Linked DNA regions of Macaca fascicularis. The protein of the gene in region 2 binds, or shares a complex with, the protein of the main gene of each other region. Links are inferred from orthologs where the notes say so. Each region holds a gene or a part of one and is shown on either strand. Other genes may lie near its edges.

The links.
Region 1: LRRC23 (region 2) and NME5 share a complex: the UniProt entries of both Homo sapiens proteins name them as parts of the axonemal radial spoke complex. The link is inferred for Macaca fascicularis from reciprocal best matches to the Homo sapiens genes LRRC23 and NME5.
Region 3: LRRC23 (region 2) and DYDC1 share a complex: the UniProt entries of both Homo sapiens proteins name them as parts of the axonemal radial spoke complex. The link is inferred for Macaca fascicularis from reciprocal best matches to the Homo sapiens genes LRRC23 and DYDC1.

What each region holds. Positions count from the first base shown.
Region 1 is NC_088380.1:144,602,364-144,609,748, forward strand, and holds part of NME5 (nucleoside diphosphate kinase homolog 5), read right to left. Parts: intron 2,095-7,385; coding exon 1,976-2,094; intron 159-1,975; exon of another isoform or gene 52-158; intron 1-51. UniProt on the Homo sapiens protein: Functions as part of axonemal radial spoke complexes that play an important part in the motility of sperm and cilia. Does not seem to have nucleoside diphosphate kinase (NDPK) activity.
Region 2 is NC_088385.1:7,838,995-7,846,858, forward strand, and holds the start of LRRC23 (leucine-rich repeat-containing protein 23), read left to right. Parts: upstream 1-3,127; 5' UTR 3,128-3,270; coding exon 3,271-3,396; intron 3,397-3,481; coding exon 3,482-3,591; intron 3,592-4,028; coding exon 4,029-4,282; intron 4,283-5,239; coding exon 5,240-5,370; intron 5,371-7,864. UniProt on the Homo sapiens protein: Essential for sperm motility and male fertility. Plays an important role in the proper assembly of the third radial spoke (RS3) head and the bridge structure between RS2 and RS3 in the sperm flagella.
Region 3 is NC_088383.1:66,448,008-66,456,146, forward strand, and holds the start of DYDC1 (DPY30 domain-containing protein 1), read left to right. Parts: upstream 1-3,680; 5' UTR 3,681-4,017; intron 4,018-7,612; 5' UTR 7,613-7,770; coding exon 7,771-7,782; intron 7,783-8,139. UniProt on the Homo sapiens protein: Functions as part of axonemal radial spoke complexes that play an important part in the motility of sperm and cilia. Plays a crucial role during acrosome biogenesis.

The DNA.
Region 1 (7,385 bases), on a different chromosome or scaffold from region 2:
AATGACATCTTTATGCCAGACATGTAGACCAATAGAATAGACCTGAGTCCAGTGCTCTCTTCGGCAGCACATATACCAAAACTGGAATGATACAGAGAGGTTATTAGCATGGCCCTGTGCAAGGATGATGCACAATTTATGAAGCATTTCATATTTTTAAAAAAGAATGAGAATCCAGGAATAAACCCAGTCATCTATGGTCAACAAATTTTTGACAATGGTACCAAGTCCATTCATGGAGAAAGAACAGTCTCTTCAACAGATGGTACTAGGACAACTGGATTTCCACATGCAAATGAATAAAGTTGGACCCCTATACCACATCATATACAAAAATGAACTCACAATGGACCAATGACCTAAATATAAGAGCTAAAACAATAAACATCTTAAAAGAGGCCAGGTGCAGTGACTCACACCTGTAATCTCAACACTTTTGGAGGCCAAGGTAGGAAGATCACTTGAGACCGGGAGTTCAAGACCAGACTGGGCAACATAGGGAGACCCTATCTCTACAAAAAATTTTAAAAATTAGCTGGGTGTGGTAGTGTGCTCCTGTGGTCCCAGCTACTTGGGAGGCTGGTGCACAAGAATCACTTGAACCCAGGAGGCAGAGGTTGAAGTGAGCCAAGATTGCGCCACTGGACTCCAGCATGGGCAACAAAGACTCAAATGACTCAAAAAAAAAAAAAAAAAAAAAAAGGAAAGAAAAAAGAAAAAAAATCTTAAAAGAAAACATAAAACATAGGGGAAAATTTTCATGACCTTGGATTTGGATTTCACAATGGATTCTTAGACATGACACCAAAAGCACAAGAAATAAAAGAAAAAAATAAATAAATTGGATTTCATCAAATGAAAAATGTTTATACATTAAAGGACATTATCAAGCAAGTAAAAAGACAACCTACAAAATGGAAGACAATATTTGCAAATCATATATCTAATAAGGGTTTAATATCTAGAAATATGAAGAACTTTAACTCAACAAAAAGACAACCCAGTTTAAAAACCGGCAAAGGACTTGAATTTGAATAGACATTTCTTCAAAGAAGGTATACAAATGGCCAACAAGCTCATGGAAAGATGCTCAACATTAGTCATTAGGGAAATGCTGATCAAAACCACCGTGAGAAACCACTTTGTGTTATCTAGCAGGATGGCTACCAAAAAAAAAAGACAGGCCAGGCGTGGCAGCTCACGCCTGTAATCCTAGCACTTTGGGAGGCCAAGGCAGGTGGATCACATGAGGTCAGGAGTTCAAGACCAGCCTGGCCAACATGGAGAAACGTCGTCTCTACCAAAAATACAAAAATTAGCCAGGCGTGGTGGCGCACACCTGTAATCCAAGCTACTCGGGAGGCTGAGGCAGGAGAATTGCTTGAACCTGGGAGGCGGAGGTTGCAGTGAGCCCAGATTGCGCCACTGCATTCCAGCCTGGGCGACAGAGTGAGACTCCTCTGTCTCAAATAATAATCATAATAATAAATAAACACAGCAAGAAAATAAGTAATCAATAATTATACATATCTAAAATGTATATAAAATACCTTATAGAAATGTTTATTTAAAAACGGTTCTCAATATTTGCAGTATTTCAAAGGACACAATGTCTTAAACATGAAAACTATAGACAATTTATAGACAATTTTTTTGGGGGGCATGGAGTCTCGCTCTGTCGCCCAGGCTGGAGTGCAGTGGCACAATCTTGGCTCTCCGCAACCTCTGCCTCCCAGGTTCAAGTGATTCTCCTGCCTCAGTCTCCTGAGTAGCTGGGATTACAGGCACGCACCACCACGCCTGGCCAATTTTTGTACTTTTAGTAGAGACGGGGTTTCACCATGTTGATCAGGCTGATCTCAAACTCCTGACCTTGGGATCCGCCCGCCTTGGCCTCCCAAAGTGCTGGGATTACAGGTGTGAGCCACCGTGCCTGGTGACAATATTTTTAAGTGTGAATAAAAATATTTCTTACCAAAGGATCTGCTGGTTTTTGCTTACAAAGCTCTGTGAGTCCTTCAAGCAAAGTTGGCATTATATGTAAATTTAAATAGTCCTTAGCAGCTTGTCCAATTGGAATGGGCTCAACGATCACTGCAAATACAAACGTATTCTCATTGAAGCAAACATAATGATTAAATACTATACAATCATTAAAAAGGCTCTTTTTAAAGAACATTTCTCTTTTTCATATATATTTTTTGAGATGGAGTCTCGCTCTGTTGCCCAGGCTGGAGTGCAGTGATGCAATCTCAGATCACTGCAAACTCCTCCTGGGTTCAAGCGATTCTCCCACCTCAGCCTTCCGAGCAGCTGGGACTACAGGTCTGCGTCACCACACCCTGCTAACTTTTGTATTTTTATTTTATTTTATTTTATTTATTTATTTATTTATTTTTAATTTTTTGAGACAGAGTCTCGCTCTGTTGTCCAGGCTGGAATGCAGTGGCATGATCTCAGCTCACTGCAACCTCTGCCTCCTAAGTTCAAGTGATTCTCCTGCCTCAGCCTCCTAAGTAGCTAGGATTACAGGCGTGTGCCACTATGCCTGGCTAATTTTTGTACATTGAGTAGAGACAGGGTTTTACCATGTTGCCCAGGTTGGTCTAGAACTCCTGACTTAAGGTAAACCGCCCACCTCAGCCTCCCAAAGTGCTAGGATTGCAGGCATGGGACACCGTGCTAGGCCCTAATTTCTGTATTTTTAGTAGAGACAGGGTTTCACCATGTTGGCCAGGTTGGTCTTGAAATCCTGACGTCAAATGATCTGCCTGTCTCAGCCTCCCGAAGTGCTAAGATTACAGGCATAAGCTACTGCAACCAGCCTGTTTTCTGTTTCTTTTCTTTTTTTCTTTGACACAGTTTCACTCTTGTCACCCAGGCTGGAGTGCAGTGGCACGATCTCAGTTCATTGCAACCCCATCTCCCGGGCTCCAGCAATTCTCCTGCCTCAGCCTCCTGAGTAGAACCAGCCTCGGTTTTCAGTTGGGATGTTTCTCTTATTATTTAGACATAGGAGTTCTTTATATATTCTAGTTACAAGTTCTTTATTTCTTTATGTGGTATATTATTTGCCAATATTTTTTCCCAGTCTGTTGCCTACCTATCTTTTCATATTTATAAAAATTTAACTTTTTTTTTTTTTTTTTTTTTTAGACACAGGGTCTTGTTCTGTTGCCCAGTCTGGAGTGTGGTGGTATGAGCACAGCTCACTGCAGCCTCGAACTCCTGGGCTGAAGCATCCTCTGGCCTCAGCCTTCCAAGTAGCTGGGCCTGCAAGTGTGTGCCATCACACCCAGCTTTTTTTTCCTTTAAGTTTTCAGAGACAGGGTGTCACTCACTATGTCCCTCAGGCTGGTCTCAAACTCCCGGCCTCAAGCAATCCTTCCACCTCAGCCTCCTGAATAGCTGGATTTACAGGTGCAAACCACTGCTCCCAGCTCCTCAAATTCTTTTTTTTTTTTTTTGAGACAGAGTCTTGCTCTGTCGCCAGGCTGTAGTGCAGTGGCATGATCTCAGCTCACTGCAAGCTCTGCCTCCCGGGTTCACGCCATTCTCCTGCCTCAGTCTCCCGAGCAGCTGGGATTACAGGTGCCTACCACCATGCCCGACTAATTTTTTGTATTTTTAGTAAAGACGGGGTTTCACCGTGCTAACCAGGATGGTCTCGATCTTCTGACCTCGTGATCCGCCCACCTCAGTCTCCCAAAGTGCTGGGATTACAGGCGTGAGCCACCGTGCCCGGCAATTTTTTGTATTTTTTAGTTACAGACTGGGTTTCACTGTGTTAGCCAGGATGGTCTTGATCTCCTGACCTCATGATCCGCCCGCCTCAGCCTCCCAAAGTCCTGGGATTACAGGCATTAGCCATCATGCCTGGCCTCTTTTCATATTCTTAATGATGTCTTTTGAAGCACAAAAGTTTTTAATTTGATTTAGTCCAATTTATCAATATTTTCTTTTATGGATCTTGCTTTTGATGTCATTTTAAGAACTCTTTGTCCAACTCCAGTTACAAAGATTTTCTCCGGTTTTCTTTTAGATGTTTTTACACTGAAGTCTGTGAGCCATTTTGAGTTAATTTTTGTGTAGGCTATGAAACAAGGGTCTAAGTTCTTCTTGTTTTTATGTGACTATCATGCTGTCCTACATCCTAGCACCATATACAGATTTTCCTCAACTTACATGGGTTACATCCCAATAAATCCATCATAAGTTGAAAATATCATTAAGTCAAAAACACATTTAATACACCTAGCCTATTGAACATCATAGCATAGCATAGCCTACCTTAAATGTGCTCAGAACACTTACATTAGCCTACAGTTGGGCAAAGTCATCTAATACAAAGCAAATTTTATATAAATAACACTTTCTTTTTTTTTTTTTTTGAGATGGAGTCTTGCTCTGTCAGCCAGGCTGGAGTGCAGTGGCACCGTCTCAGCTCACTACAAGCTCTGCCTCCCAGGTTCACACCATTCTCCCGCCTCAGCCTCCTGAGTAGCTGGGACTACAGGCGCCTGCCACCGCGCCCGGCTAATTTTTTGTATTTTTAGTAGAGACAGGGTTTCACCGTGGTCTCGATCTCCTGACCTTGTGATCCGCCCGCCTCGGCCTCCCGAAGTGCTGGGATTACAGGCGTAAGCCACCGCGCCCGGCCCTGAGCCACTGCGCCCGGCCCAACATTTTCTATATAATATACATATATTATGAGCTGGGCACAGTGGTTCACACCTGTAGTCCTAGCTCCTTGGGAGGCTGAGGCAGGAGGAGTACCTGAAGCCATGAGTTTGAGACCACCTGGGCAACAAAGCAAAACTCTGTCTCTTAAAAAAAATATGTATATATGGCCGGGCGCGGTGGCTCAAGCCTGTAATCCCAGCACTTTGGGAGGCCGAGACGGGCGGATCACGAGGTCAGGAGATCGAGACCATCCTGGCTGACACAGTGAAACCCCGTCTCTACTAAAAAATACAAAAAAACTAGCCGGGCGAGGTGGCGGGCGCCTGTAGTCCCAGCTACTCGGGAGGCTGAGGCAGGAGAATGGCGTGAACCCGGGAGGCGGAGCTTGCAGTGAGCCAAGATCACGCCACTGCACTCCAGCCTGGGCGACAGAGCGAGACTCTGTCTCAAAAAAAAAAAAAAAAAAATATATATATATATATATATCTCTCTTAAGCAATCCTTCCACCTCAGCCTCCTGAATACTGAATAGCTGGATTTACAGGTGCATATGTAAATTAAAATATATATATATATTTATTTATATTCAGTGTTTTTCAGATGCATATATAAAGATATATACAAAAATATATATATATTTTTATCTTTTTGGGGGGAGGATCTCTTGAGGCCAAGAGTTCAATACCAGCCTGGGCAATATGGCGAGACCTCCTTTCTACAACAAAAAAATTCAAAAAGTAGCCAGGCACAGTGGTCTATGCCTGTAGTCTCGGCTACTCAGGAGGCTGAAGTGGGAGAATGCTTGAGCCCACGAGTTCAGGCTGCAGTGGGCACCACTGCACTTCAGCCTGGGTGACAGAGAGAGACCCTGTCTCAAAAAAAAAAAAAAAAAAAACAAAAATAGAATGGTTGTATGGATATTCACCATTAATGTACACAGCTGAAAGCACCATAGTAAAGTCAAAAAGCTGTAACTTGAACCATGGTAAGTTGGGGACTGTATTGGCAAGACCATCCTTTTCTCACGGAATTGTCTAGGCACCTTTGTTGAAAGTGAATTGACCATAAGTGTAAAAGTTTATTTCTAGATTCTCAATTCTGTTCCAATAATCTTTTTTTTTTTTTTTTTTTTTTTTTTGAGACGGAGTCTCACTCTGTCGCCCAGGCTGGAGTGCAGTGGCCGGATCTCAGCTCACTGCAAGCTCCGCCTCCCGGGTTCACGCCATTCTCCTGCCTCAGCCTCCCGAGTAGCTGGGACTACAGGCGCCCGCCACCTTGCCCGGCTAGTATTTTGTACTTTTTAGTAGAGACGGGGTTTCACTGTGTTAGCCAGGATGGTCTCGATCTCCCGACCTCGTGATCCGCCCGTCTCGGCCTCCCAAAGTGCTGGGATTACAGGCTTGAGCCACCGCGCCCGGCCCCAATAATCTATATATGTATCTTTATGTCACTGCCACACTGCCTTATAATTGTGGCTTTGTAGTAAGTTTCAAAATCAGATAGTGGAAGTCTTCCAACTTTGTTCTTCTTTTCCAAAATTGAGTTCTTTGCAATTTTACTAAATTTTAAACTCAGTTTGTCAATTTCTACATAAAAGTATGCAGGGACTTTGATGAGGATTACATTAAAATTTTCTTTAATTTTTTTTTTTTTTTTCTTGTACAGATGAGGTCTCACTTCATTGCCCAGACTGGTCTCCTACTCCTAGACTCAAGCAATCCTCCTGTCTCAGCCTCCCAAAGTGTTGAGATTACAGGCATAGCCACTGCATCCAACCCAAAACTGTTCATTAATTTAGAAAGAATTGCCATCTTAACAATACTGAGTCTTCCAATCCATGAATATGGAATATCTATTTATTTAGATATTTTAAAATTTCTCTCAGCAATGTTTTTTGTTTTCAGTGTACAAGAATTCCACTTTCGTTAAATTTATGCCTAAATGTGGCTGGGCGCGGTGGCTCATACCTGAAATCCCAGCACTTTGGGAGGCCAAGGCAGGTGGATCACCTGAGGTCAGGAGTTTGAGACCAGCCCACCCAACGTGGCGAAACCCTATCTCTACTAAAAATACAAAAAATTAGCCAGGCGTGGTGGTGGTCGCCTATAATCCCAGCTACTCAGGAGGCTGAAGCAGGAGAATCGCTTGAACCCAGGAGGCAGAGGCTGCAGTGAGCCGAGATTGGGCCACTGCACTCCAGCCTGGGTGACAAGAGAGAAACTCTTGTCTCTTAAAAAAAAAAACTATGCCTAAATATTATATTATTTTTAATGCCATTGTGAATGGAATTTTCCTTTTTACAGCTTTATTGAAGTATTATTGAGGTACATAAAATTGCACACAATTAATGTATACAAATTTTTTCTCAACATGGGCAAATGTTTTATTCATATATTATATAAAGTTCATTATGCTAATTCATCAGGTACTAATCATTAAACAAAAATCTTTTTAATATTTTTTTTTTGAGACGTGGTCTTGCTGTGTTGCCCAGGCTGGAGTGCAGTGGTGTGATCTCAGTTCACTGCAACCTCTGCCTTCCGGGTTCAAGCAATTCTCCTGCCTCAGCCTCCCGAGTAGCTGGGATTACAGGTGCATGCCACTACGCCAGGCTAATTTTTTTTATTTTTAGTAGAGATGGGGTTTCACTATGTTGGCTAGTCTGGTCTCGAACTCCTGACCTCAAGTGATCTGCCCATGTC
Region 2 (7,864 bases):
CCTGCTTTCTCTGCACAGGCATTGAGCTCTTTCTTCTCCAAGTGTTACCACAGGTGATTCCTGTGTCTGAAATCTCTGCCTCGAATATATGGCATCATGTATGTGCATATACTATACAGTGATCCCTAGCACTCAGTAAAAGCTCTATAAATGTTGGGTGTGATTATTACAACATGTCTCATTATATTGAATTACTTGGGTATTTAACCTTGTCACTGAACTGTACACCTCTTGAACATAAAAGATAAGGACTTCCGTGCTTACTGTCCCCGAGGGCCAAGCATGTAGAGCCAGGGACAGATTAAGTGCTTAACAAACGCGTGGCAGGGTGCAGTGGCTCATGCCTGTAATCCCTGCATTTTGGGAGGCCGAGGCGGGCGGATTACTTTAGACCAGAAGTTTCAGACTAGCCTGGGCAACATGGCAAAACCTTGTCTCTACAAAAAATACAAAAAAATTAACTGGGCATGGTGGCGCACAGCTGTAGTCCCAGGTACTCAGAAGGCTGAGACGGGAGGATTGCTTGAGCCCAGGACGCACAGGTTGCAGTAAGCTATGATTGCTCCACTGCACTCCATCCTGGGTGACAGAGGGAAACTCTATTTCAAAACAAAAATAAAAACAAAATAACAAAAGTCTAGCTGGGTGCGGTGGCTCACGCCTGTAATCTCAGCACTTTGGGAGGCCAAGGCGGGTGGATCACAAGGTCAGGAGATCAAGACCATCCTGGCTAACACGGTGAAACCCTGTCTCTACTAAAAATACAAAAAAATTAGCCGGGCCTGGTGGCGGGCGCCTGTAGTCTCAGCTACTCCGGAGGCTGAGGCAGGAGAATGGTGTGAACCTAGGAGGCAGAGCTTGCAGTGAGCCGAGATCCCGCCACTGGACTCCAGCCTGGGCAACACAGCAAGACTCCATCTCAAAAAAAAAAAAGTGTGTGTTCAAGGACACATTCCTAACCCTTACATCACAACTTTTCTTCCCATCTAATGTGTCTTCCTCTTTCTTCTTGGCCAAGGAAAATCATATCCATTTCTTTCGACTACCTCAAACCACATGGATTTTTCCGTTCTCCACACTCCGACAATACAATAACTTTCATTTGTATAGCACATCTAACTCTTCAGAGTGCTTTCATATTTATTATTTCTTTTTCCTCACAGCAACCCCTGTACCAAGGACACAGGCCAAGGGTGGGGAGGAGCAGGAAAATGTTTACTAAGGGTCAACTAAGTGCAAGGCGATTTACCCGCATTATCTGTTTTAATCCCTTAACAATCCTTACAGGTGGACATTTTAATTCCCATTTCACAAGTGTGGAAATTAGATCTTAGTAAGATTTCATAACCTGCTGAAGAACACACAGGTATTAAGTGGTAGAGATGGGTTTTGAAGCTGGTGTCTCTGACTTTAAAGTCCCTACTGGTTCCATGACACCAAGTAAACAGATCTGCCTATTAACTATATTCCTCCAAGCTGCCCTGGGCAGGAGGTAATGTAATACTTTCTGATTTCTTGTCCACCACATCTTCCATCAGACCACTTTGATGTTATATAAAGTCTGTAGGCACAATTTAACAATGAATCACATACCATCTTACCTGGTTACCTGATTGTTTCATTTACATTAGATTCCACAACAAGATTGGTAACATCCCCCTTTCCCCAGGCAGGAATTGTGTCATCTTAACCTCCCTGAGCCTCAGTATCCTCTTCTTTCAAATGTCTGTCTTACAGGACTGTTGCAGAGATTAAATACCAGTTGTAAAGACGTTTGACATAATGTCTCGCACAAACTCTTCAGAAATATTTATTGCATCTCAACATCTTTTTCAACTTCTTCAACACGTCAGACAGGCCTGAGTGCCTGGGTTTTTGGCTATGCCAGTTCCTGTTGATTACTGATATAACAACGTTGGATCAGGAGTATTTCAGTGGGCAGATGTTGAATTTTCTGCCTTCCACCCACTAAAAGGTTTGCATCAAACCAGTCCAGGATAACTCATACTGGATCCCTGCCAGTTGATATAGTTAAGCTGATCTACAGATAAGAAAGAGTCTTGGGTACGTTTAGCTAGTAAATGCAGATCTGCCAAGACTCCAACCCAGTTCTTAAGATACCTGTGTCTGGGCTCCTTCCGCTCTACCAAGCCACCTTTCAAAGGTCTACCTGAAAATAACTAATGAGCAGAAACTACAGGGGGAAGGGGAAAAGACCCCTTATCTTGGTGTTTCTTGCTTTTCCTCGCAGCCCCGCCCTTTTTGCTTCGAAGGGTGAGTTTTTCCTGAATTCACAATACTTTTGCATTGAAGATGTCGGGGGTCCCTTTAAGGTCTTGGGTGACGTAATGACTAGCCCCGCCCTCTCTCTTCTCTCTTCTCAGCCCTGGCCATTTTTTTTTTTTTTTTTGTCCTCAACCAATTAGCGGCCCGACGCCCTTTCCGCGCCTCATCCGGGTTCCCGGGACTGGGAAATTGGCCTGGTAACCAGGCAACTACTGATCAATCCCCTCCCCAGCTGATTTGCGCATCAGGTAGTCGCCGCTCTGCGCTCAACGGTGGCGAGTTTCAGTAGCCAAGTGCCCCGCCCCCGTTGCCATAACAGCAGTACACAACCCCTCCTTCCCCTCGCCCGCTTGCTAAACAGTCCTTCCCTCTCGGGACCAAGGGCCTCTCCAGAACTGCTTCTGATTTAGCAGAAACAGGGTCTGAGCCCCTTTGCTAAGGCGAATTGAGTGGGAGGACTGGAGACTGCGCTTTAGGCTGGTGTACCAGAGGGCCCAAGGAAATTGGTCCAGTGGGGAGGGAAAAGTAGAAGAAATGAATGGAGCGGGGATTAGGGATGGCGCAGTGGGAGCTAAGAGGAGAGGAGGAGGAGGAGGACTTGGTAGGGAAGAGTGGAGAGCATGGCTTAAGGGGGAGGTGGGAAGAATGGGGGAGAGGGAAGCCCAGGAAATAGGGACACTGGGCTGCTGGAGGAGAGCTGAAGCCACTGCGAAGGACAGGAAAGGCCTGGGGGTGTGGGTGACATCCTGAAGGGAGGGGGTCCTCAGTGGAAAGTGTGAAGTGGGGGTTGAGAGTCAAAATGAGATGTTCACAGGGATGAGGAAAGAAGCCTAGAGTTGGTGGGTCAGAAGTGATGCGGGTGATGGGAGTGGCACGTGTCAATGACGATGAAGGAGCTGAAGGCTGGCAGAAGCTGAGGAGACCTTCTTTCTCAGGAGGAGGACTGAGCTTATCTGACTTCAGAGCTTTCAGGAGGGAAGAAAGATGTCAGATGAAGATGATCTAGAAGACTTTGAGCCAGACCAGGATGATTTTGAGAAAGAAGAGGACGAGAAGGAGACAGAGGAGGGGGAGGACTACAGAAAAGAGGGGGAAGAGTTCCCTGAGGAAGTGAGAGCCTGGACAAAGAGGGGTCCTAGGGCTGAGGGGCGGGGTTGGGCAGGGGAGGGACGCCTTATTCCACTTCCACCTGCAGTGGCTGCCCACGCCCCTCACGGAGGACATGATGAAGGAAGGGCTTTCTCTGCTCTGTAAGACAGGCAGTGGGCTGGCTCATGCTTATGTCAAGCTGGAGGTTAAAGAGAGGTGCGTTGTGGGGGGACCAGATGAGGACTGTGAGATTGTAGGGCCCCTGTCTCCTTTCCCACTGTCATTCCTGGGTGTTCTGGCTGAGAGTTTGACCCTTCTCATGCCTAGTGGAAAGGGAAGGACAAAATTTACTTTTCAGGAGCGCTGAGACTTCTATCAAAGCTGACCTGGGGAATTGGAGACTGAGAGTATATGGGGGGATTCCTGCTGGATTCCCTCATTTGTCTTTCAGAGTATGGGTTCTCTGTCCTTCACAGACACAGGTCTTTCTGCCCACTGTTAAGAACCCACCTACCTTCTCTTACCCTTCTTCTCGCCTACCATCTGTTGCCCATTCTTCTCCTCATTATAAGCCTTCTGCTTTAGCAACTCTGCCAGTCCTCGCTGGGTTCTTAACCCTAAACCTGGTTCCTTCTCCCTCTTCCATCTCCTAGGGACCTGACAGACATCTACTTGCTGCGCTCCTACATCCATCTGCGCTATGTGGATGTTTCTGAGAATCACCTGACAGACCTGTCGCCACTCAACTACCTCACCCACCTGCTCTGGCTCAAGGCTGATGGCAACCGGCTGCGAAGTGCCCAGCTGAATGAACTGCCCTACCTGCAGATTGCTAGTTTTGCTTATAACCAGATTACTGACACTGAAGGCATCTCTCATCCTCGTCTTGAAACCCTGAATCTCAAAGGTGGGTCTTTTTTTTTTTTTTTTGAGACGGAGTCTCGCTCTGTCGCCCAGGCTGGAGTGCGGTGGCCGGATCTCGGCTCACTGCAAGCTCCGCCTCCCGGGTTCACACCATTCTCCTGCTTCAGCCTCCCGAGTAGCTGGGACTACAGGCGCCTGCCACCTCGTCCGGCTAGTTTTTTTGTATTTTTTAGTAGAGACAGGGTTTCACCGTGTTAGCCAGGATGGTCTCAATCTCCTGACCTCGTGATCCGCCCATCTCGGCCTCCCAAAGTGCTGGGATTACAGGCTTGAGCCACTGCGCCCGGCCAAGGTGGGTCTTAGGATGGGCTACACAAGATTCTTTCCTTCCTAGCCTGAGGCCAACAGAAGTGGGCAGTATGGTCCTTGGCTATGGCACATGGCAGTCTGCATTCATTCATTCAGATACGCAATGTGATTCATTATGACAGTTCTACATGTTAACCATATAGGAGCGAATAAGACAAGAAATGTCCCTATTCTCATATAGCTTATATTTCTAGTTGGGAGAGACGTACAAGTAAAACAAACACAATACGTAAATTCATGTAGCATGTTAAAAGGAGACAAGTGCCTTGGAAGAAATAGATCAGAGTAAGAGGAATGGGGGACATAGGTGGCAATGTTAAATGGATTGGTTAGGACAACCATCACTGAGAAGATGACATTTGAGCAAAGAGTTGAAGAAGGAGAGGGAATTAGACATGTCAGCTGCTTCGTTCACTCTTCAAAGGCTTAGGTGGATATGTCCATCAGGACCTTGGACTACCACACCACTTGCCCCAGGGCTCTGGAGGTATTAAGTCTGGAGCTGTCCTTCCTCACTACTACCCTGCTTTGTGAATGTCCAGGATAGGGTGATTTAGAGGCTTCCCAAATTCAGGCTCTAATGCTGAACATTTGGAGTGGCCCTTTGAGCTCTTGAAACCCTCCTCCCCAGGAAACAGAATCCACATGGTGACAGGTCTGGACCCCCAGAAGCTGATCAGCCTGCACACAGTGGAGCTTCGGGGGAATCAGCTGGGAAGCACGGTGGGGATCAATCTTCCTAAGCTGAAGAACCTCTACCTGGTAACTCACTGGGTCATAGGGTGGTGCAGGGAAGAGGGCACTGTCCTGGGGGTCAGGATGCCTGTTTTCTAGTAGGCTCAGCTACTAACTTCTTCATTATGATAGTAACTGGTATTATCAAGCCCATAGTTGGTTCCAGATACTGTGGAGATACAGAGCCACCTAGCAGGGCTGATAATATATAATATGTGGATAATACAGAGATAATTTACTTTGATACAGGTAGCAGCAAAATGGACCATAATTGAGGTACAAACATCAGGCTGTGGAAATGTTTTAGGAAAACTCTCCTCTCAGATTGGGTTTTTCTTCAGCTCTTGCCCTAGCCACCACAGCAATAATCAACCTAAGACTTCCGGGGCCCAGGATGTGGGGTTTCTCCCCATACACCAAGTAGTAGATACCAGCTGGGTGATCTCTAATTCGATTCCGACACTATCTACCTGGGGATAGCATCAGATCCCACAGATTGAGGGCTCAGTTCCCAAGAGTGACCCCCACACCGTCCGCAGACACCAGTTGCAAGTCCAAACCTCCGGAACTTCTGACACATCAGCTTCAACATGAAGCTGGTTCCCATGACCTCTTCTTTGGATTTAATTAATTTTCTGGAGTGACTTTTTATCAGTTTATTGCAAGGGCAAAGGACACAGATGAAGAGATGCATAGGGCAAAGTCTGGGGGAATAGGTGCAGTGCTCCATGTCCTTCCTGGGTGCATCACCCTCCAAAAGCCTTCATGTGTTCAGCTACCCAGAAGCTCTCTGGACCCAGTCCTCTTGGGTTTCCATGGAAGCTTCAAATATTAGTATTCCCTCCCCCAGGGAATTGGGGAGGCTGTCTCTGGGGAGGGTCTTAAGAACCACAATCAGGCTGGGCACGGTGGCTCACGTCTGTAATCCCAGCACTTTGGGAGGCTGAGGCGGGCGGATCACGAGGTCAGGAGTTCAAAACCAGCCTGGCCAACATGGTGAAACCCTGTCTCTACGAAAAATACAAAAATTAGCCACACATGCTGACATGTGCCTGTAATCCCAGCTACTCGGGAGGCTGAGGCAGCAGAATCGCTTGAACCCAGGAGGCAGAGTTTGCAGTGAGCTGAAATGACACCACTGCAATCCAGCCTGGGAGACAGAGCAAGACTCCATCTCAAAAAAAAAAAAAAAAGAGGCCGGGTGCGGTGACTCATGCCTGTAATCCCAGCACTTTGGGAGGCTGAGGCGGGCGGATCACAAGGTCAGGAGATTGAGACCATCCTGGCTAACACGGTGAAACCCCATCTCTACTAAAAATACCAAAAAAATTAGCCAGGTGTGGTGGTGGGCACCTATAGTCCCAGCTACTCAGGAGGCTGAAGCAGGAGAGAGGCGTGAACCCGGGAGGTAGAACTTGCAGTGAGCTGAGATGGCACCACTGCACTCCAGCCTGGGCAACAGAGCAAGACTCCGTCTCAAAAACAAACAAACAAACAAACAAACAAACAAAAAACACACAACCAGAAAGAGGGAGAAGCGGGGAAAGATTAGAGCCTTCCCTTGGGGCAGGTGAAAAGACAGCAGGAGAAGGTTCCTGAGACCTGCCCCTGAGACCCAGCACACCCAACTTTATAACAAAAGACTGCAACAAGGGCTATTATGGGAGTTATAAGCTAGGGACTGTGGATGAAAATCGTTATATATAATAACACCACAGGGCCGGGCGCGGTGGCTCAAGCCTGTAATCCCAGCACTTTGGGAGGCCGAGACGGGCAGATCACAAGGTCAGGAGATCGAGACCATCCTGGCTAACACGGTGAAACCCCGTCTCTACTAAAAAATACAAAAAGCTAGCCGGGCGAGGTGGCGGGCGCCTGTAGTCCCAGCTACTCGGGAGGCTGAGGCAGGAGAATGGCGGGAACCCGGGAGGCGGAGCTTGCAGTGAGCTGAGATCCGGCCACTGCACTCCAGCCTGGGTGACAGAGCGAGACTCCGTCTCAAAAAAAAAAAAATTAACACCACAGGAAGCCACTGAAATATTTAGTCTTTTAGACTCTTTTTTTTTTTTTTTTTTTTTTTTTTTGAGATGGAGTCTCGCTCTGTCGCCCGGGCTGGAGTGCAGTGGCCGGATCTCAGCTCACTGCAAGCTCCGCCTCCCGGGTTTACGCCATTCTCCTGCCTCAGCCTCCCAAGTAACTGGGACTGTAGGCGCCCGCCATCTCGCCCGGCTAGTTTTTGTATTTTTCAGTAGAGACGGGGTTTCACCGTGTTCGCCAGGATGGTCTCGGTCTTCTGACCTCGTGATCCACCCGTCTAGGCCTCCCAAAGTGCTGGGATTACAGGCTTGAGCCACCGCGCCCGGCCTGTCTTTTAGACTCTTAAGCTTCGTTATTCTGGGATGGTGCTGATGGCAATCCTCAGTGGTGGCATGGGGGCTCCTGGGCCATATGGGGAGTGGGCTGAAGCATCTCCTCCATCCCAAGTGGCTTTGGGGGGTGAGTGGTAGCGGGTTACTGCTGA
Region 3 (8,139 bases), on a different chromosome or scaffold from region 2:
GATTATAAATTACAGAATAAAATAAGACTCCATGAGTCCATATGAGAATATATACATAGATTAAGAAGGGAGAAGGCAAAGTTCTTGTTAAAGTAGAATGCCAACTAATAAATGTGGGGAAAATAATGGAGTTTTAAAAAACTGCCATTTCCTCACCACCATAGTATAATTGAATCAAAGCAGAATCATCAATGAGTCAATGAGTGCTAAACCTGGGTGAACATTTGACAAGGAATAAGATATATGCATAGTCTCAAAGTTTCTTCTCACAAATTAAGTATTAATTCCAAAGGAAATACAGAAATTTTACAGTGGCAAAACCTGGCCAACAAAACCTTAACCAAGTAATCACAGTAAATATCACCAATAAAGGAACAAAGTGACATCAAGTGCCTCCTGATGGGATGTACTTCTTATGGTACATAAAACATTTCCATGGATTCCTGTCTAAAATGCAGTATTTGAATGTAATTGAAGAAACAGCAAATAAATCCAAAGCAACTACCCTGTACTCTTAAAAATGTTGAGGTTATGAAAAAAAAAAAGAGTAATTGTTATAGATCAAAGGAGACTGAACAGCTATAATAACTACATGTAACACATGATCCTAGATTGGGCCTGGGCAGGAAAAAATAATTCAGCTGGGCATGGTGGTGCATGCCTGTAAACCCAGCACTTTGGGAGGCTGAGGCAGGAGGATCACTTGAGCTCAGGGGTTTGAGACCAGCCTGGGCAACATGGCAAAACCATGTTGCCCATGCTTTTGTATTCCACAAAAAATACAAAAATTAGCCAGGTGGGATGGCACACACCTGTAGTCCCAGCTACTTGGCGGCAGGGGGTGGGGAGGTGCACGGGGTCTTACGGTGGGAGGATCACTTGAGCCCAGGAGGTTGTGGCTGCAATGAGTTGAGATCTCACCACTGCACTCCAACCTGGGTGACAGAGTGAGACCCTGTCTAAACCAAAAAGAGAGAAGAAAAAAGAATTCTATAAAGGATATCGTTGGGAAAATTGGATGAATTGAATGTGAAATGTAGATTATGTGATATAATATATCCAAGTTAAATTTCTTGATTTTGAATACTGGAAGTATGAGTAAGAGAATGTCCTTGTTCTAGGGCTGAATAATGGCTCCCAAATGTGTCCATGTCTGAATACCTGGAACCTATGAATATGTCACCTTAAATGGCAAAAGGGACTTTGTAACTGTGATTAAATTAAGGATCTTGAGATAGGGAGATGATCCTGGATTATCTGAGTAGGAACAATGTAATCACAGATGTCACTGTAAGAGGGACACAGTACGGTCAGACAGGGAAGGTGATGCCAGAGCCGAGGGAGAAAAAGCGATGTGATCCAGGTCCTTGAGCCAAGGGTATCCTCTAGAAGCTGGAAAAGGCAAGAAAATGGATTCTCCCCAGAGCCTCCTGAGGAACCTGTGCTGCTGACACTTTGCTTTTAGCTCTACTAAATTCATTTTGGACTTCTGACCCCAAGACCTGCAAGGGAATTAAAAAAAAAAAATTTTAGTGGGGTAGTGATAGGGTGGGGACAGAGGTGGGTAGTGTCTCCTGCCAATCGGTGTCTCCTGCCAATCTGTGTGGCCCACTTGAACCAATGCATTTGGATAAACAACCTTCTACACCCTTCTTACTCAAAGCTGGTTTGATGACAGATGACCAGCAGCATTTCATCACCTGGGGACTTGTCGAGATGCAGAATCTCAGGTCCTACCCCACCCCACAGATTCAGAACCTGTATGTTAATAAAATCTCCAAGCAACTTGTAGTTACCAATCTACTTTGCCTGGATCACTGTAGAACTGTCCTTCCCAGAAGGCAGAATCACCAATTCTGCATTCTCTGGTCATTGGGTGGCTGCCACACTCCTTACATGTGGCAAGCCATATTGGCATACCTCCACCTACTCTAAATTGCCCATTTTCAACAATGATCTGAATGAAATGTGTTTCCGCAACAGTCACTGAGATGTGGTACAAAGACAGTAGAGCCAGCATAGAGTCACAGCGTGAGGCCTGGAGGGGAAGAAGTCAAGGGGATGCCTTTTATTTTTTATTTTTGAGACAGAGCCTCGCTCTGTCACCCAGGCTGGAGTGCAGTGGCGCAATCTCGACTCTCTGCAATCTCTGCCTCCTTGGTTCAAGCGATTCCGCTGTCTCAGCCTCCCGAGGAGCTGGGATTACGCCCGGCTTTTTGTATTTTTAGTAGAGACAGGGTTTCTTCATGTTGGCCAGGCTGCTCTCCAATTCCTGACCTCAGGTGATCCACCCACCTCGGCCTCCCAAAGTGCTAGGATTACAGGCGTGAGCCACCGCGCCTGGCCAAGGAGATGCCTTTTAAGGCCCACTCAGACCAATTTAGGGTACACTCACCAATTGGGGGAGAGGCTATTTTTCGGTGTTTCCCAGAACTCGCCTGACGGTCTGCTTACATTGTTCCTGGCCTGCACTCAATAGGCAAAATAAGAATAGGGGTTGTCTTTGTTTGCTGTATACCGCCCATGCTTGGCACACTAGGAGCTCAGTAAATATTTCTTGATTTATTCATTGAGAGCTCTGACGCCTGTGCTCATGCTTCCCTTTGATTTTTCCTTGCCCACTCTGGCACTTACTATCTCAACTAACATCTACTAAGGCCTCTCTTGCCCGGCACTGCCCCGCCCATAAGCTGAAAGAGAACACGGGAAAGGCTAGTACATGCACAGACGACTAGGCCGAGGAGGACTGCAAGGGCTTGGGCCTGGTGGAGACCGGACGGCTTCCTGGAGGTAAGGCACCCGAGTTGGTTCTGAAAGGAACCAAGCAGAGGTCACCAGCAAGAGCAAAGGTGCGGAGTTGTGAAACTGCCAGGCTATTAGCAGCTTGCAGTGACGGTCTTCCAACGACTCTAGGTCTTCCGCCCTTCTCCGATTGGCTGCCCTTCCTGGTTCCTCCTCAAAGCGCGCCACCCCCTCATCTCTCCCAGAGCATGCCTGCCTGCCAGCCAGGGTCCCTTGCTCTTTTCGGTCCCCCCACTCCTCCAGGTTTCTGTGCAGCAAGTCTCCTCAGCTCACCCACCTGCGCGCCGCCACATATGCCTTTCCTCGACCCTTCGTGCGCACACCCCGCTCCAGCGTGCCCGCTCCTCTCTGCTTGGCGCCCCGCTCCTACGCGCCCCCTCCTTCCCGGCCCCCGCCCCTTGGAGCGCGCCCGCTTCTCTCTGCCGCGCTCCCCTTCTCGCATTCCCTCTCCGCCACCTCGTGCGCGCTCTCCCTCCTGCACACCACCTCCTCTCTGCCGCACGCCCGCCCCCTGAACGCCCGCTCCTCTCTGGCCCCCTCCCCTTGCGCGCGCCCCCTTCTGCACGACCCCTTCTCTATGTCGCGCGCCCCGCTCCTGCACGCCTCCTCCTCTCTACCGTGTCCGCTCCACTCTGCCGCGCCCCCTCTACTCTGCCGCGCGCTCCTACCCCTGCACGCCCCCTCCATTCGGCCGCGGCCCCTCTACTCAGCGGTGCGCTACTGCTCCTGCACGCCCCCTCCTCCCTGCAGCGCGACCCCCCACGGCCCCCCCTTTCTGCTGCGCGTTCCCCCTCCACCGCCCACTGCGCGCCCTCTGCTCACCTACACGGGCTCCTGAGGCGCGCGCTCTCGTTGCCTGGCAACGGGACGCGGCTCCCGGGTGGCTAGCGTGCGCGTGTGTCGGGTGTGCGCACCGGGAAGGCCCGAACTGTTTTTGAGATTAGTTCCTCTAGCTTCGCTGGGTCCGGCGGGCAGAGGCGGTTCTGACCGTTGGGCCTTGGGCGTCGAGCAGGACTCACCTGAGGCGGAAGGAGGCCGCTTCGCGCCTGGGGCTCCCGAGAGCAGCCGGCTCTCCTTCTCCTGCTCGTCCTGAGCAGGGAGCGCTGCGTCTCTGTCTCCTGCGGGCTGCGGGAGACTCTTCCAGACTCCCGGGTGGGAAAACCACATCGAGCGCCCCGGGAGGTTGCCAGATGCAATACTGTACTGCATGCGCAGGTAACTGAATTTCAGATAAACGAGTTACTTTTCAGTACAAATATAGTATCACGCAAAGTTATTCGTTGTTTATCTGAAATTCAGAGTCACCTGGGCGAGCTGGGTTTTTAGTTGAGAAGTCTGGCACCCCTGCCCGGGTGCCCCTGCCCAGTCGGCTGGCTGTCTCCCAGGTGTGGGTAAGGAACCTCCTTCCATCTCTGTGGCACCTTCTTCAGGCTGTAGGCAGCTGTTTCTGTGGGAAACGGCTTTCTTATGTTGAGCCAAGATGCCTATTGGTGTATATGAAAAATAACATTGGTTACCACAGGAGAGATGGGTATTATCCTCGTTTCACGGACAGGAATATGCTAAGGGAGTTGGCAGGCCTTGCCTGGGTCCCACTGATATGCCCAGAAATCCGAGACAGAGCCTCCCCTGACTTGGCCCCACTGGTAGGCCAGAAGTTTTCTCTTTGGGGATAATGGCCCCCTTCCTACCTTCCCACATTTTATCTTTCTGGAGCAGTAATAGGAGTCTGTTCCCTTTTTTTTTTTTTTTTTACTTCAAATGACTTTGACATGTCTTTGTAGCGTTTTGGTCTTTCAGATACATCCTACTGAAGAAATACAGTGAAGATACTGTGTTCCAAAGTCATTTGTAATAATTCTTTTCTCTGTGTGGTTAAGACACCAATATCAACCTGATTTGGAATTAGGTTCATTAGTGCCAGTTTGCTTTCAGTTTTTAGAGTTTTTATGACTATGTTTATATATACACATATTCCTTTCCTCACTGCTGTTGCTAATGCAAAAGATGACGGATCATATACAATTTCAGCACCTTGTTTTCTTTATTTTGTGTCTTAGAGATCACTCTTTAGTTTCTTCATTCTCTTGTACATCTGCATAATAATCCATTGTGTTGCTCTTATTAATCCCCAATTTGATGAACATTTAGATGGTGCTTCAGTGTGACTATTGTAAATAATGCTGCAAATACCTGTGTGCATATGCCATTTCATATTTTTGCAACTATATCTTTGAGATAGGATCCAAGAAGCAAGATTGATGAGTCAAAGGGTGAATGCATATGTGATTTTCTAGATGTTGTCAAATTCTCCTCCATAGGAGTTACACCATTTTGCCTTCCCACCACTGTCATATGGCATATGCGCATGGTTATGCATAAAATTTCAGAGACACTGAATTTTTCCATAGAATAAAAATTGGGGGTTATGGACGGACCCCCAGATGTCAGTGTCTCTGAACTTTTATGCAAAATGCTAGGTGCATTTGTCCAGGGACAGGTTTAGACACAGTGGCATTCTATCCCCTATAATTGCCATGCTCATTCTTATATCAGGGCCTTTCCTCATACCTAGAAGACTCTTCCTTCTCTTCTTTGTCATGTTAATTTTACTGTTTTTTTTTTTTTTTCTTTTTGGGTAAATGTGAGCTTAGCTCAAATGTCACCCCCAGAGAAGCTTTTTTTTTTTTTTTTACTTTCCTGACTTGATCAGCTCCTCCTCTCCTCTGGTCTCATAGTACTTATTTTAACTTCAATTTCATATTTATTGATTTAAATATTTATCTTCCCTTCTCATCTGTAAGCTCCATGAAGGCAGAGACTGTTTTTGTTTTAGTTTGGGCTGCTATAGCAAATTACCAACACTGGGTGGCTTAAAAACAGTACACATTTATTTCTCATCATTCTGGAGGCTGGAAAGTCCAAAATCAAGGCATTGGCATTTCTGGTGTCTGGTGAGGACCCTCTGCCTGGTGTGCAGGTGGCTGTCTTCTAGTTTTATTCTCAGATGGCAGAGAGTGAGAGCAAGCTCTCCCGTCTCTTTTTATAAGGGCATTAATCCCATGCATGAGGGCTCCACACTAATGATCTAATCACTTCCCAAAGGCTCCTAATACCATCACATTGGGAGTTAGGATTTCAACATACAGATTTTTGGGGACACAGACATTCAAGCCACAATAGTTTTGTATTCCCAGTACCTATCATGGTGCCTGACCTACAACAGGTATTTTTGTTTGTTTGTTTGTTTGAGATGAAGTTTCACTCTTGTTGCCCAGGCTGGAGTGCAATGGCACAATCTCAGCTCACTGCAACCTCTGCCTCCCGGGTTCAAGTGATTCTTCTGCCTCAGCCTTCCTGGTAGCTGGGATTACAGGCATGTGCCACCATACCTGGATAATTTTGTATTTTTAGTAGAGACAGCATTCACCACTATGGCCAGGCTGGTCTCGAACTCCTGACCTCAGGCGATCCTCCAACCTCAGCCTCCCAAAGTGCTAGGATTACAGGTGTGAGCCATTGCACCCAGCAAATATTCATTATACATTTGTTGAACAATTGATTACATTTCATCAGACTATCAGGAGAGTCTGAATTTCTTAAAATATTAAGGGTAATCTGAGGGTGATCAATTTTTCCAAAGCACCTGAAAGAGATTGGTTGCTGCGTTTTTCCTTTTCTGTTTTAAAAACAATCTGGTCTATGATTATTCCTGTTTATCTTCATAACTGGAAGGAGTAGGACATAACTGGGAGAGTGGAGAAATTCATTCCCTTGCCACCATGGAGAAACAGCTGTGTCAGCCCTGTGATTAAAACACTCTTCAAGCAGCTAGAGGAGTTTGTCTTCTAGTGGGAAGACAGACACACACACACAGAGATAGTGTAATTCTCTATGATAGTGTGGTAAATGCTATGTAAGCTGCTTGGAGCAAGAGGAACTTCTTTGGGTTGCCTGGGAAAGCTCAGGGAATAAGAAATGATTCTCTACCTTGCAGGGGAGGAGATCTTTTGAGAGAGAGAGAGGAGAATGAGGGATCATCATGTACAAGAGTCATGGAGATGGAAATGTGCAAGGGGTGGTCATCGGAATGGCAGGATGTCCATGGAGTTAGAGCCCAGGGTGTGCTGGGGCCAAGAGAGATGATGTCTGGAGGTGAACCTGAAAAGAAAATTGGGGCCAGATTGTGAGGAGCTTCATATGTTATTATTTGGAGGCTGAGTTTTCATTCTTTGGCCTTGGAAATTTATGGATTTTTTTTTTCAAAAGGTGGACTATTGTGATGCTTTGTAAAAATGGCTCTCATGGCTTAGGAGGGACATTTTAGTGTAGTCTTTAGGGTTAGGGTTTTGGAATCAGGAGGTGGGTACAAACCCTGCCTCCTTCATCTGCCAGCTGTGTTATCCTGAACTATGCACTTATGCTGTCTGTGCCTGGGCTTGCTCATGTTCCCATTGGGATCATGATACCTATTTTTCAGGTATGTTGTGAGAATTAAATGAGACCCACATAACTTGGCATTAAGTAAACTTGAAATCAATGATGATAATATCTCTTTTCTGACTCTTGGACTTGAGGTCCTCCAGGACTTTTGAAACCGTGTTAGTTGTAGTGACTTCTGTGGAGTCCTTTTGGAAACTAAAACTATTAGAAGTTTCCTGGGGCCAGCTTGCTTGTGACACCCCCAAGAGGAGGTGGACATGACTGAGGGCAGGGTGTATGTAAGGCTTTGTTCAAATCACTGGACTTGAGTCTTATAGTGACTTTATTGAAGATATCCTGCAGTAATGCAAAAACACTTACTTTTTAGGAGTTTTTATTTAGGAGTTAGAAACGGAGTCAATATATCTTCAAAAGCACCTTGGGGCATGTTTAACTCAAGGTCTTGCAGAAGTGGCAAGAGTTCGCCCAGTGGATCCAATAGAATATTTAGCATTGTGGATTTACAAGTTTAAGGACAATGTGACCATGGAACAACTGGTAAGTAGGAATCTCCTTCTAGAAAATTAGAAGAAAAAAAATTGGTCGAACTTGCCTGCTTTTTAAAAACTTTAATATTATTATTTTTCTGTTATAAAAATAATGTTTATTATACAAAAACTTGAACAACATGGAAAGTAGGAAGGAGAAAACAGTACCCAAAGAAGACTTCTATTTAGATTTTTAGGTAATTCCTTTCATGGGAAGTATTTTTTCTATAGATTTATAGATTTGTTTATGCATTTGTGATCATACACAATGTATAACTTTAATATTGTGCTCATTATTCAGATAAAATATCTTCCCAAATTATTATATTGTTTCTAAAGGGATGGGCTATAATTTGTTTAACCCTTT